Linked DNA regions of Mus musculus: regions 1, 2 and 3 are each reported to be linked to region 4. The links are microRNA targets in miRTarBase. Many come from high-throughput screens and were not tested one by one. Region 4 holds a microRNA gene; each other region holds the end of a gene's coding sequence.
The links. The annotated mature microRNA mmu-miR-223-3p reads UGUCAGUUUGUCAAAUACCCCA and lies in region 4 at 1,707-1,728, shown strand. An mRNA with a match to its seed (bases 2 to 7 or 8) in the 3' UTR can be bound and repressed. Matches are read on the target gene's strand: a 7mer-m8 pairs with bases 2 to 8, a 7mer-A1 pairs with bases 2 to 7 and ends in A, and an 8mer does both.

Region 1: miRTarBase lists Ak3 as a target of mmu-miR-223-3p. Seed matches in the 3' UTR shown: 7mer-A1 at 1,828-1,834.
Region 2: miRTarBase lists Podn as a target of mmu-miR-223-3p. Seed matches in the 3' UTR shown: 7mer-A1 at 531-537.
Region 3: miRTarBase lists Ercc3 as a target of mmu-miR-223-3p. The part of its 3' UTR that is shown has no 7-base or 8-base seed match.

The regions. Positions count from the first base shown.
Region 1 is chr19:29,020,324-29,023,470 of GRCm38, forward strand. It overlaps Ak3 (adenylate kinase 3), which reads right to left. Exons shown (of 5, transcript NM_021299.2): 5 at 509-2,623. The coding sequence ends at 2,503. It also overlaps a transcript of Cdc37l1 not described here. Among named protein-coding and RNA genes, the nearest start is that of 1700018L02Rik, 26 kb to the right of the region's middle.
Region 2 is chr4:108,014,902-108,018,048 of GRCm38, forward strand. It overlaps Podn (podocan), which reads right to left. Exons shown (of 13, transcript NM_172874.4): 12 at 2,806-3,003; 13 at 1-794. The coding sequence ends at 2,832. Among named protein-coding and RNA genes, the nearest start is that of Podn, 15 kb to the right of the region's middle.
Region 3 is chr18:32,269,561-32,272,707 of GRCm38, reverse strand. Ercc3 (excision repair cross-complementing rodent repair deficiency, complementation group 3) reads right to left here. Exons shown (of 15, transcript NM_133658.2): 15 at 2,557-2,950. The coding sequence ends at 2,819. Among named protein-coding and RNA genes, the nearest start is that of Ercc3, 31 kb to the right of the region's middle.
Region 4 is chrX:96,241,178-96,244,324 of GRCm38, forward strand. It overlaps Mir223 (microRNA 223), which reads left to right and starts at 1,640; the gene lies at 1,640-1,749. F630028O10Rik (RIKEN cDNA F630028O10 gene) reads left to right here. Exons shown (of 3, transcript NR_030718.1): 3 at 1-2,465.

The DNA.
Region 1 (3,147 bases), not on the chromosome of region 4:
AAACACTCACTGGCCGTCACAGCATTTTGCTGCTTAGCAGAATGTATGCAATAATGATCCTTTTTTTTCTTTTAAATGTTGTGTGTGCACGGGTGTTTTGCCTGCATGTGTGTCTGTGCCTGGTGCCATAGAGGCCAAACACATTGGGTTCCCTGGAACTAGAGCTACAGATAGTTCTGAGCTGCCGTGTGGATGCTGGGAATCAAACCCAGGTCCTCTGGTAGAGAAGCCAATGCTCTTCTTGCTGACCCACCTCTCCAGCCCCAACAAGGATCTTAATCAGTGTCTGACATAAGCCTATCCGGCAGCAGAAGAGAAGCTCCTTTTGTTTGTTTTAATAGAAGCCATACAAGTTTCCCAAATGGAAAATCTTGGTTGATCTGGTCACAGGGGAACAGTGTGTCACTTCATGTTCTCTAACCCTCTTTAACCTCCATGTCTTGTAACAGTGTCTGAAAGGTCTGTTGCCTCTTTCTAAAGCCGGAGATCAACATGGAGACAGCCCGGGTACTGTTTGAAGACCATTTATTAGAAAGAAGCCTGTGAGACATTGTGGCAGCAGACAGGATGGGGGTTTGTGAAGGGCCAGGGGCAAAGGGCAACAGCCACAGTGCTGAGATCACCTGCAGATCAGTCCTAGCTTTAGGTAATTCACAACAGGTTGTAGGAAGTGGTTATCAACATCCAAATAAGGCAGTAGAGAAACGTTGACAAAGGACAAAGTTGTTCATTGTAATCCTAAGGCCTAGTCTATTTGAAAGATCAACAGTGAAATTTAAAAATCAAAGATTCCTTCCCACTCCCAAATATATAACAACCATTTGCTCTCTGAAATAAAATAGGCCAAAATTGCAAAGGCTTGAACAAAGGCTTGATTCTTTGATTTAGCACCAAGTAAAATAAGAGAACATCTTTCCTGAAAGGGGGAATTATCTTTTCATTGAACTTCTCATATTTTGTCCCTTCAGGCCACAATATGTAAGGGCAGGTCCTTGCCCCACTAAGAAATCTAAAGTGACTGACATTTTAAAATGGATTCTTAGGGTTGGTTTAGTGGTACACACCTGTAATTTAAGCACTCAGGAGACTAAACCAAGAGGATTGAATGTGAGGCCAGTTTGGACTATATAATAATCCAAAGCCAGCCTGAGTGTGGTGGTGGTGCGCACCTTTAACTTCAGCACTTGGGAGGCAGAAACAGGTGATGGCTCTGAGTTTGAAGCCAGCCTGACTACAGAGTTCAGGGCAGTCAACTACAGTGAGATCCTGTCAGAGCAACAGAACTGAGCCACCACCACCAGCATCAGCAACAGAAGGGGCTGAAGATAAACCACAGTATAGGATGCCTGCCCAGCACTCAGGCTGGTTGGATCCCACTGCTGTAAGTAGAAGAGGAGGCTGCTTAGATGGTACCAGAAGAATTGCTTCCCTTTAAATTAGGGTGGGAAGTGGTAGCACACAGTGATCCCAGCACTTGAGAGAGGCCGAGACAAGAGGATCTTTAATTTAGAACTTCAACACAGGTATAATGTTCTTAAGGGAACTCCCTTACAGTGCTTTTGAACCCACCATGCAAAATCCTATTACTACACCTGTTGTGTAGTGGAATTAGTCAGTCTTTCTGCTGGGGGGCTGTCCCCAGCATGTCCCGTCTACTTGCAGAGTGGCAAATTCCCATGGGTGTGGTGTCACCCTTTAGTTTTCTGTTTACTGTCTTGCTCATCAAGGCAGGCAGTCCGCTTGGATCAAAGAGGGAAACAAACGGGTAGGTCCTAAAACTTGGTCCTCACCCTGAGTGACACGGGAGAACTTAGGACTTAATGCCATTGTCAGTGCCAGTGCTGCTCCTAGAACTTCAGTCAGAACCTAAGTCATACACCTTGGTCCATATCCAAGTCACACGTCCCTACGTGCCAGTGGCTGCATTTTCACAGCAGATTGGATAAGTAGAGGACACACAGCATGGTGGCCTGTTCCCTTGGCTTTTCCTGTTAAGGTAGCAGTGAGTTTACATTTAACATCTGTAAAGCCTGTTGCTTGCTTTCTGAAATCTATAGACAGTGTCTTCTAATACCACATCCCTTCAGGCCAGAAAACATCTTCCTGAATTGCAGTGGGCATTGGCTTATTGAAAAGCCTCGAATGAGATTATTTATCTGCCTTGAATGGTAAATTTTTTTTGAACTTTTCCAGAAAAACATGAAAATGTGATCAACCACTTTGACTAACTGAACAGAAGGTTAGATGGTCACCAGTTGCTCTCCGAGTTAGTTTGTTTCAACATCTCTGACGTTTTCCAATTGCACGTCCACAGAAGACAACCAGGTCCTAGATTAAACATGTGAGGCTATTTTAACAGATCAGGCTAAGTATCTGACTCATTTGGCTTAGCCATTAGGAATAAATCATAATTTTTAGAGAAGTCTTAGGAAAAGAGCTTTGAGATACAGAGGCAAGAAGAGGAGAGGAGGCCCTGCCTCATCCTGCCAGTTGCTGCCCTCTTCAGGGAGTAACAGAGGCCTTTTGGGTAGTTTCTGGAACTTTCGTCTGTAGGAAGGAGTATACGTGGGGCCAGATCTTGTTGGTTTCTGTTCCAGAGAATGTTTCCAACACCCCTTTTTTCCTAAAGATGAAAAACAAAATAGGTAGGTAGATTATACAGATCTGAATGTCCTAATGCGCTTTTTCCAAACAGTTTGTAAAGTTCATGTGAGTTTAGAAGTCCTGATGTGTATTTAGGTCTCTGATCCAGGGGCAAGAAACTTGACTGGACAATGCAAACTGTAGACTGCAGTTCATGTTTTGTCTTCTGGCATAAAGAAAGGGGCTCTTTAAAAGGCTGTCAGCTGTCATACTGAGACTTTGTTGTTGGTTAAGCCTATACTAACACTTTACAGCATGCCAAAAGTCCAGATGCTCCTCCTCCTGGCAGATACACTTGTCTTCTGGGTAGGTACTCAGCCTCAGTCCCCAGGTTGGCGGATTCAAAACGGGGCCATCAGCCTCCAGGACATCACCTTAGCCTTGCTTTGTCCACAGAAGTCTCTAACACTCATTATCCTATCTTTGACCGAGTTCCCTTTTCTCCACTGTTCTACCTCCCTGACTTGTTTTTTCTGTCAGGGTTCTCCGTTTATTCTTGCGGGT
Region 2 (3,147 bases), not on the chromosome of region 4:
AAGGTACCCAGAACTTCCCTGCAGAACTGAAGACCAACGCAGCTGCCACCACCCCACCCCACCCCCACCACGCACTGCTGCCTCTTTCTCTTCCAAGCCTTCTTGAGGCTGTTCTCTGAAAGTGCCTGTGACCTGCCAGGGCACAACAAAAAGGGACTCCCAGCAGTAGGAGTGCCCAGCACCTGGGGGGAGGAGGTGAGGCTGTGGTCGAAGGCAGAAGGTTCAAGTCCCCATAGGGAAGGCACAAAACAAAAGCCAGCTTTTGCGTCTCAAAGAGTGAAAAGCACCCGGCCACAGAGCAAGGAGACAACCCTGCGTCTCCAAGGGAGGGACCAGAGGACAAGGCACATGGCCAACTGTTTCCAACCAGAGCTGTCTGGAAGCAAGAGCTTTTGGTAGCATAGGTCACTCTGTGTAAGTGAATAGGGGAGAGGGTAGCTGCCTGAGTCTACCAGGCCAGTGTGGACTCAGAGGTGAGGGTGTGTGTGTGTGTGTGTGTGTGTGTGTGTGTGTGTGTGTGTGTGTGTGTGTGTCAGTGTGAGATTGTGCAGAGAGCCAGTTTGGAAGGTCATATGCAGCTGGCTATCTACGTGGCCAAACTGGGGGCGTGGTGGTGAAGTGGTATCTGCACGTGTCTGACTGTGTGACACATTGCTGGAAGGGGTGGGACACGAGACTGTGTTCAGCCCGTGTGACTTTCGGGTGCCTCTTGGGCTCAGCGTTGGGTGTGTCAGAAGGGGGCGCTCATGGGGCACAGGCCTGGGCTGCAGAAAGGAGTCCGGTAGTCCATCGTCCTGTGGAACATGTTGGAGAGTCAGGACTAGCTACAACCAGCCATTGGTGAAGTGGATCAAAGTAAGGGGGTGTCAGAAGCCAGGCTGCTGTGAGTGGGAAGAAGGAGGAGCCCCTGGGAGTGTAGAACCAGGAGGTTCCCAGCTCTGAATCCAGAGCTCCCTGGGGCTTCTTCCAGCAGTCCATTCAGTTGACTTAACCATGGCCAACATTCCACAAAGCGGGAAGCTTCTCCCTCACCCCAGAACTCCACAGTCCTTTTCATGAGAACCAGCAGTCCTCATGCGATAGCAATCACCCTTTCCTGCCGACCCCTGGCTTTTAAGGACTGTGCCTCAGGACAGAGACTCTACCTCGACGGCTGGCCTTGGAGTCAGGTTTGCCCCTCCAGGCTCACAGCCCTGTCACAAATCCTGCTCTCATGAGTGGACACCCTGTCTCCATCATCCGTCCACATAGCTGTCACTATATATCAACAACCCCCCTCCCCCCACTACCAGCTCCCCTCTGTTCCATGTTCTACTTCAAGTCAATATCCTCACTGTGGCCATGGCCACACCCTGGCCTCATAGTTCCCAGCACATTCCCTGAAGTCCTACCTAACCTTAGCCCTTCCGATCACTGCTCTCTGCCTGGACACTTGCTATCACCTCCCAGGTTTCAGCTTCCTCCCCATGCCTCTGCTACCAATATGTCCATCTGCCCCTCCTTCTTACCAAGCCTAGTGCCACAACCTGAACAAAAAGCCAGCCATAAGGAATCCAATTCTGTGCCATGGATAGAAAGCCAAGGTCCTCGGGCTGATGGGATTTGGGACCCAACCATCAAGCCTGACTGTGACGGCAGCCACTCAGTTCCCTGGCCCTCCTTCCACACTGGGACAGTTACCAACCTCCTGCAATCCTTCCAGCAGCCCTCATACCCATGCTGCTCAATGCACTACCCTCCCTCCACAGCATATCCCATGAGCATCCTTGCCACCAGTGCCAAAAGGAGTGCCAAACAGTTTTACCTGAGTTTTACGTGGCCTCCCCTTGGCTACTGCACTCCCTGCCTTCCCAGTCATCCTCTCCACCCCCACCTCTCCCTCAGTTGCTCCCTATGACGTCACAAGCATTCCATGTAGACACATTCAGTTATGGACAGCAGTACCCACCTCCAGACTCTGAGTACTGAAGCAGTTTTAGTCCCCTACCCCCTACATCTAGAGAAGTCCATGAATGTATTAAGTGTGTGTGTGAGTGTGGTCATATGTAAGCCTGTGTGAATAGGTACCCAGACACACCTCCATGCATATATCCATAGGCACATGTGTGCACACAGATATGGGCCTATGATTGTGTCTTGGACTAAAGTATGTATATATGTACACATGTGTAGATGCTTGTGTTACATGTATGTGTATGTATTAACTACCTATGGCTGTCCCCTCCCTCCCTGCCCTAGACAAGCTCTTCTAGCCCCTCAGTATCTAGCCCTATCTCAAGGCCTACAGTGATGAGATTCCCATCTCCAGCCCAGGCCTTTCCTCTGAGCCCCAGACTTAGGAGTCTCTGTACCCCAGAGTATCTCCCAGCACAGTACTCATCTCCCTGAGCTAGAGTAAATGCCTTAGCACAAACTGGCTTCTGTGGGCAAGCAGACACACACACATACACACACACACACACACACACACACACACACATACACACACATACACACACACATACACGCATACACACATACATGTACACATAGATACATACACCTACGCATACATACACACATATACACACATACACACACATACAAACACACATACACATATACACACATACATACACATACAAACACACACACACACACACACACACCTCACATGGTGCAATCCTGCATGCAAACGAAATGACAGGTTTTCAAAATGAAGGGATAGAACAGAGACAGGGTGAAGTTGACACACAGAAAGCCAAGGCAGGTCAGGGACAGCAGGGAGTGGTGAGAGGTGCCTTCACACCCGCACAGACCACCCACCTGGGTTTCATCCATGTCACTTTGTCCTATCTAGTTTCCTCTTCCTCATCTTCCTCTTCCTCCTCTTCTTCCTCTTCCTCATCTTTGTCCTTGGAACCATTACCAAACTCAAAGTTGCCTTCAATGTCCAAGACCTGCAGGTGTTTCAGCCTCCGGAAGGCGCTTTCCACCACGGAGCCCACAGCCAGCTTGTTGAACCTGAGTGGTGGTCCATGGGTCAGCGGCAGGAGGCCTGGCTGATGCCCTCACACCTACCCAGCTCAGAGGGGAAAGGGGGGAGGGGTGGTATTTGGGAGTGCTACAGCAAGTTTTGAAGGGGGTGCGTGAAGAAGCACAGTACAC
Region 3 (3,147 bases), not on the chromosome of region 4:
GTTCTCCCATATCAATCACTAATAAAGACAACCCCTCACAGACATGCCCAATCTGAAGGCATTTCTTCAGTTGAGGATTCCTCTTCCCAAGTGACTTTAATTTACATCACATTGGTAAAAATTGGTAAAACCCGGGGCCTAGCAAACACAGAAGTGGATACTCACAGTCAGCTATTGGATGGATCACAGGGCCCCCAATGGAGGAGCAAGAGAAAGTACCCAAAGAGCTAAAGGGATCTGCAACCCTATAGGTGGAACAACATTATGAACTAACCAGTACCCCGGAGCTCTTGACTCTAGCTGCATATGTATCAAAAGATGGCCTAGTCGGCCATCACTGGAAAGAGAGGCCCATTGGACACGCAAACTGTATATGCCCCAGTACAGGGGAACACCAGGGCCAAAAAGTGGGAGTGGGTAGGGAGGGGAGTCGGGGGGAGGGTATGGGGGGACTTTTGGGATAGCATTGGAACTGTAAATGAGGAAAATACCTAATAAAAATATTTTTAAAAAATTGGTAAAGCAAAACAAAAAACCCAGGACACTTCAATTATCAAACTGTACAGTACTAATATATAAACAGCCATCTCTATCAGTGGAAGAGGATCAAGAGTCCAGAAATAAACCTGGAGAGCCACATCAACTCCTTTTTCGAATAAAAGAACCAATACAATTTAAATGAAGAATACCCCACATAAGTGGGACGGTTGGATATCCACACGTAAGAATAAAATACAAGCTTACTCCATCCATTACAATAATTAACTCAAGATCTGGATCTGGGGATGTGGCCCAATGGTACAGCACTTACCTAACATGTCCAGTGCCTTGGGTTCAATGCCCAGCACTGAAAACAAACAAAACCGAACTCATCGTGGATCAAAAGATCAAATGTAATACATAAGACTAGAAGCCTCCTAAACCTGAAGGCCGTGAATTCAAGTTAGGCAACACTTCTTAGAGAACCTGATTGCAGCGACAAGAGAAAGCAGCTGGCTCAGCAGACAGCAACTGCTACACAGTAGGATGACCTGCTTGAGCCTCAGAAGTTATAATAAAGCTGGGCGTGGCCGTGCACTGATCACCCCAGGACTGGGTGCAGGGCAGAGGCAGGTGAATCCCTGGGGCTTTCCAGCTTAGGAGCTCACTAGGTTTCAGGTTCAGTGAGAGATCCTGTCTCCAAAAAATAGAAGTGGAGAGTGACTGAGGAAAGACATGTGACATCAACTTCTGACTTGTGCGTATGTGCACACACCCACACAAGCACATTTACACACCTCGGGGTAGAAATGACACAATCCTGCCTGGCGCCTGGCAGCTTTTGTGGCCCTCACATTTGGCAGCGCTGAACAGGAGAGGCACAGGGCAGGAACAGCAGCAAGCACAGGCCTCGGGTTTCAGGGACTATGCTAGTTGTTTTTCCTCATTGCTGTGACAAAATACTTAATAAAAAAAAAGGGGGGGGGCTTTACTTCGACTGCCAGCTTAAGGGTGCAGCCAGTCATGGTGGCAGGACTGGGAGGCGAAGGTGGCTGTTCACGTTGCCCCAACCCCACCCCACCCCTGCCAGGGTCCAGGAATACTGGTCCCCAGCTTTCTTCCTTTGTCTTCTAGCCCAGACGACGGTGCCATGCCTTGGTTGAGACTTCCTACCTCAGTTCTCCTAACTAGAAACACCTGCATAGTCAGGTCCGTAGGTATGTCTCCCAGGTGATCTTCCATCAATCCCAAGCATGCAGTGGTTGGTTTTAGCGTCAACTTGCCTCACCTGTGTAGAGAACTGCAGACGACTGCCTCAACAGTCACTCCATGTGTGACACCTGCCATAGGCCTGGCTCTCAGAGGCGGTGGCTGGCGGTAGAGAGGATCACTCACCTTTCGCTGCCTTGACCTTCCCTCCTGCAGCCAGCCTTCTTCACCCTGTGGCTGTGATCTCTTGGCTGCTATCTTAAGCATCTCTTCTCTGGGCTTCCATCCCTAAGAGGCAGCAGTCTCCAGGACCTTTCCGTATTTAAATCCAGACTGGGACTGCTAAAGCAGCAAGCCTCATGGACTGGGCGACCGACCACCCAGTTCTCAGCCTCTCACGGTAAAGTACTAAAACCTCCCGGGTTGGGAACATTTCAAAGGAAGCTAATTTAGTAATACAGAGCCCAAATTCCATTTTTAAATAATAAAATAGAAGCAAAACAAACATAAGAGAAAGAGCGAACAGAAAGCCACGTTATATACACAGAGGACACATAGGGTAAAAAGTGAGAAAAAATAGAAATTAAAAAATATATAGGAAGATAAAATTTTAAAAAGGAGGGAAGAGCCAGGCCTGACACAGTTTGTTCCCTGTGTGCAACTCCTGCTGGGCACGGGGCTCCCCTTAAGGGCAGCCTGCTTCCGCAGTGAGCCTCCCTTGGAGAAAACTACATTTTCATTTGCAAGTGCTCCTCATCTGCAGGCTGACTCTCGTGAGGGTGGAACCATGTGCCTACTTCTCTACTTGAAGCTCTAGAGCTCCCCAAATTCCATTGTTTAATTCATTCAATAAAATAGAGACAAATGTGGTATAATTAAGTGGTATAATTTTTATATACAGAAATGATTCACTCTTAACAAGTTTGAATAAAAAACAACAGTAGCTTTTCTTTCCTTTTTAAACCTAGGACCCACGAAGGCAGTTAAGGCCTCACACTGACTGGTTTTCAGCAGTCAGTCAATAGGAAAGGACACAGTCTTGGATAGAAACGATCACACCGGTGAAGAAAGAAGTCTCTCTTCAACACGGATCCAGGCAGCCAGTCTTCACCTGAGCACAGGGTGGGCGTCACTTCCTGAAGCGTTTGAAAAGCGGGTGCACGTGCTTGCTGGAGGCCTTGCTTCGGGAGGAGTGGTACTCCATGTACACGGTGTCGTCTGCGCCTGACAGGGAGCTCATGGTGCCACAGCGTCGGGATGCCTGTGGGGAGAGGGGGGAGCCAGGCTAAGCTCATCTCCAAACAATCTCACAACACTCGGAATCAAATACAGTTGTGTGGGGTGAGTGTGTGTGTGTGCTGCTAGGGATTGAACCCAGTGTCTTGCTCATGCTAGGCCAGCATTCGGCCACCAAGATAACCCCAGCCCGGAGATATACGGGAGATACACCGTGTTTAA
Region 4 (3,147 bases):
CTCTTTTCCAGTGTTCTTGGGTTATGTGAGGTCGGATAGGGCAATTGAGAGGCTATGGATATCTCTAAAGTGTCTAGCTCTCCTTACAGCAGATGATAAGCAGAGATGCTGTCAAGAAAACCAAAACCAATAACCCATTACTCCTTTCTCTTTTAATCACTTTCCTTGGCTTTTACTAGCTCCAGAGTTGGAAATAAGGTCTCTTTAAGCTCCCTTCTAAAAAGCTCTAGAAGTCTCATCCAACATTTTTCAAGACCTTGAGATGTAAGATTTCTGTCTCTATTTCTAGAGAAGACAATTGATGCCCAAGAAAACTTTAAACCTGGGTAGGACAAAATTTGATACTATCAAGCATTTTGAATAACAGGATCATGATGCTAAACAAAATATCAAATAAATTGAGATGGCTTGGCTCTTCTGGCAGCTGCCCTGGTAGCTATGAGTTCAAACATCTTAATACTTCCCTGCAAAATCCACTGCCTGTTTTGCTCTTTGTTGCTGTTGCTCTCCCTTTTGCAAGGGAATATAAAAAGCAGACAAGAAAAAGTGGTGGGGTGGACAGCCAAGGGACACAATGAGCTGATGGATGATATAATTCCCAAACTGTAAACAACTTGTTTTATGACCTTTTGGAAGTCTTTCCCTAAACATCAGACTTCATTTTCTCATTTATAATCTTGAATGGGTAAAACTAGATGACTTATAAGGGCATTTTAATATCATTAATTCTTTACTGCTTATGAGAAAAGGCAACCAAGTTAGACAAAGCCGGCTAAGGCCACAAGAAATTACTGTTTCAATTCTGTTAAATAAATTATCTATCTTTTCCCCTGTTAGTATCTATCTTATATGTTTAATTTTAAAGCACATTTTAGTCACTTTTATTTATGTACAGGGGATCAAATACAGAGTATTGTACAAGTTAGGTAAGTGTTCTGCTACTGAGTTTTATCTCTAGATCTTGATTGTTTACTTTTTTGTTTGAGAAAGGGTAGTATTATATAGCCCAAATTGACTTTAAATCTGAGGTTCTCCTATCTCTGTCTATGAAAGCTTGTATGCACACATGTACTATCATACCTGGCTATAGCCACAATTTTTGAGTATTTGTTAGGTAACAAACACTAAATTAATGGCTTTATATGCATTATTACATATTCTTGCCATGATTTCATGGGCATTTTTGTGGCTATGGAAGAAGTAGGTTTCAGGGACATAAACTCATTTATTTAAGGTGTTCAGCTAGTTAATGGTAGAGGTAGAATTCAAATCCAGTTTTAAAAATCAACATCTAGGTACATAACCAGGGTAAACAGAGCATACAAGAAGTTGATAGGAGGAAGGAACACATAAATTGTCCCCGAGGACAGAATGATGACAATTTTTTCCTGTTTCAGCTGAATAGAAGAGTTAATTGAGGCTTGGGCCACCAGAATCTCCAGACAAACACCCAGGATCCCCGTTTTTGTTTGGAGCATTAGCGTGTTTTGTTCACTTCCCTCTTTTGGTGTGTCTTAGTCAGTCATGTTAGTGTCTGCCATTTGTCTCACACTTAGGGTAAGATATAATCACCCTATTTTTTTCTCTTTCCAGTTGCACATCTTCCAGCATGTTCTTGCTGCCCAGTGGAGGTTCCTGATCTGGCCATCTGCAGTGTCACGCTCCGTGTATTTGACAAGCTGAGTTGGACACTCTGTGTGGTAGAGTGTCAGTTTGTCAAATACCCCAAGTGTGGCTCATGCCTATCAGCTCCAGGTCCAGGACAGAGCACATAGCCTGCTGCCTACATATGAATGCTTATGAAACATGAAGCTCTCTGGTGTTATTCTATGTCTTTAAGGGAACTATAACATTTATTCAGAGAACATCAGAGTAGGAACGATGCAGCTCTGGGGTCTACAAGTCTGGTATGCATCTGTGTACATTGTGAAAATGCCATGGACTGCATAGTGGTACATGAGGGATACAGGGAATGAGAGTATTATTTGATTTATTATTAATGTCTTCTTTCACTTTCCTCTTCTTGCAGCCAGAATAGCAGAATTTTCATACAAGCATCATGAATTCTATGAGAAAGTAGGAAATAAATATCCACTGTCTGGCCTTCGGAGCACATCTTAAGCTACCTACATTTTCTCTTTTCCACTTTGCTTTTATCATTCTTAAAAGAACCTTCTTGTTTATCTTCATTGGGCTTTCAGACACTACCAAATTCCAATTCCTCTTGGCACTATTGAAAGTTAACCTATACTTTTCTTTACTCCTTGGCTAACCACATACTGGTATGTGCTATTATATGTCCTACCATCCAACACATCTTCTAAAGTTGTCAGTGAATTTTTCCAGGGTATGTTCTTGAATTCCCTATTATATTGTAAGAATCTAGAGCTTATTATATTCAGTTGATTGCTGTCTCTCATACCATTGTCCAACATTTTAATTATTAATAAATATTTACCAATTAATTGATGTTTTACTAGTCAATAACCTTTTGCTATATAGGTCAAATACCAACCAGGGTTTTGCGAAAAAAATAAATCAAACTGTGGGTATTCTAATGCTATAGTGTATACAAGATGGTAACCAAAATGGATTTTTTTTTCCTCTGAGAAATAAGATTTAGGTCTGGGGCAGGAGGGCAAGAAGAAAGAATAGACTCAGAGGGAAAAATTTTTTGAATTATTGGTTTACACGTGTCTTTTTAAACAGAATTTTCTGAGCCTTTAATATTCTATCATTGCACTGGGGTGAACTTCTAATATAGAACTATAAAATGAAGCATCTCCAATCCCTCTCTCCAGAGTCTAACATTTCATAACATATATTTTGGCAAGCTTCTTTAGAGAAATTCCATACTCTCCCTTGGTTCTGGAGAAATTCCATACTCTCCCTTGGTTCTGGAGATACCTACTTTCATTCTTTAACTTTTCACCCACTAACCAGTGACCTAAATAACAAGACCCATATTGTTACCCCAATTTTGCTCAGAATTGTCGGAGGGATGCATCTCTATCTAGGGATGACTTACTGGCTTACCCTGCATGGAAAAATACCATTGTTTAGGGACAAAGACCATCTTCAGAAGATGTCTGCAGCAAAGTACACACACTGCTAAAAATCCACAGGTCTAACCTCCAGTCTTTGTTC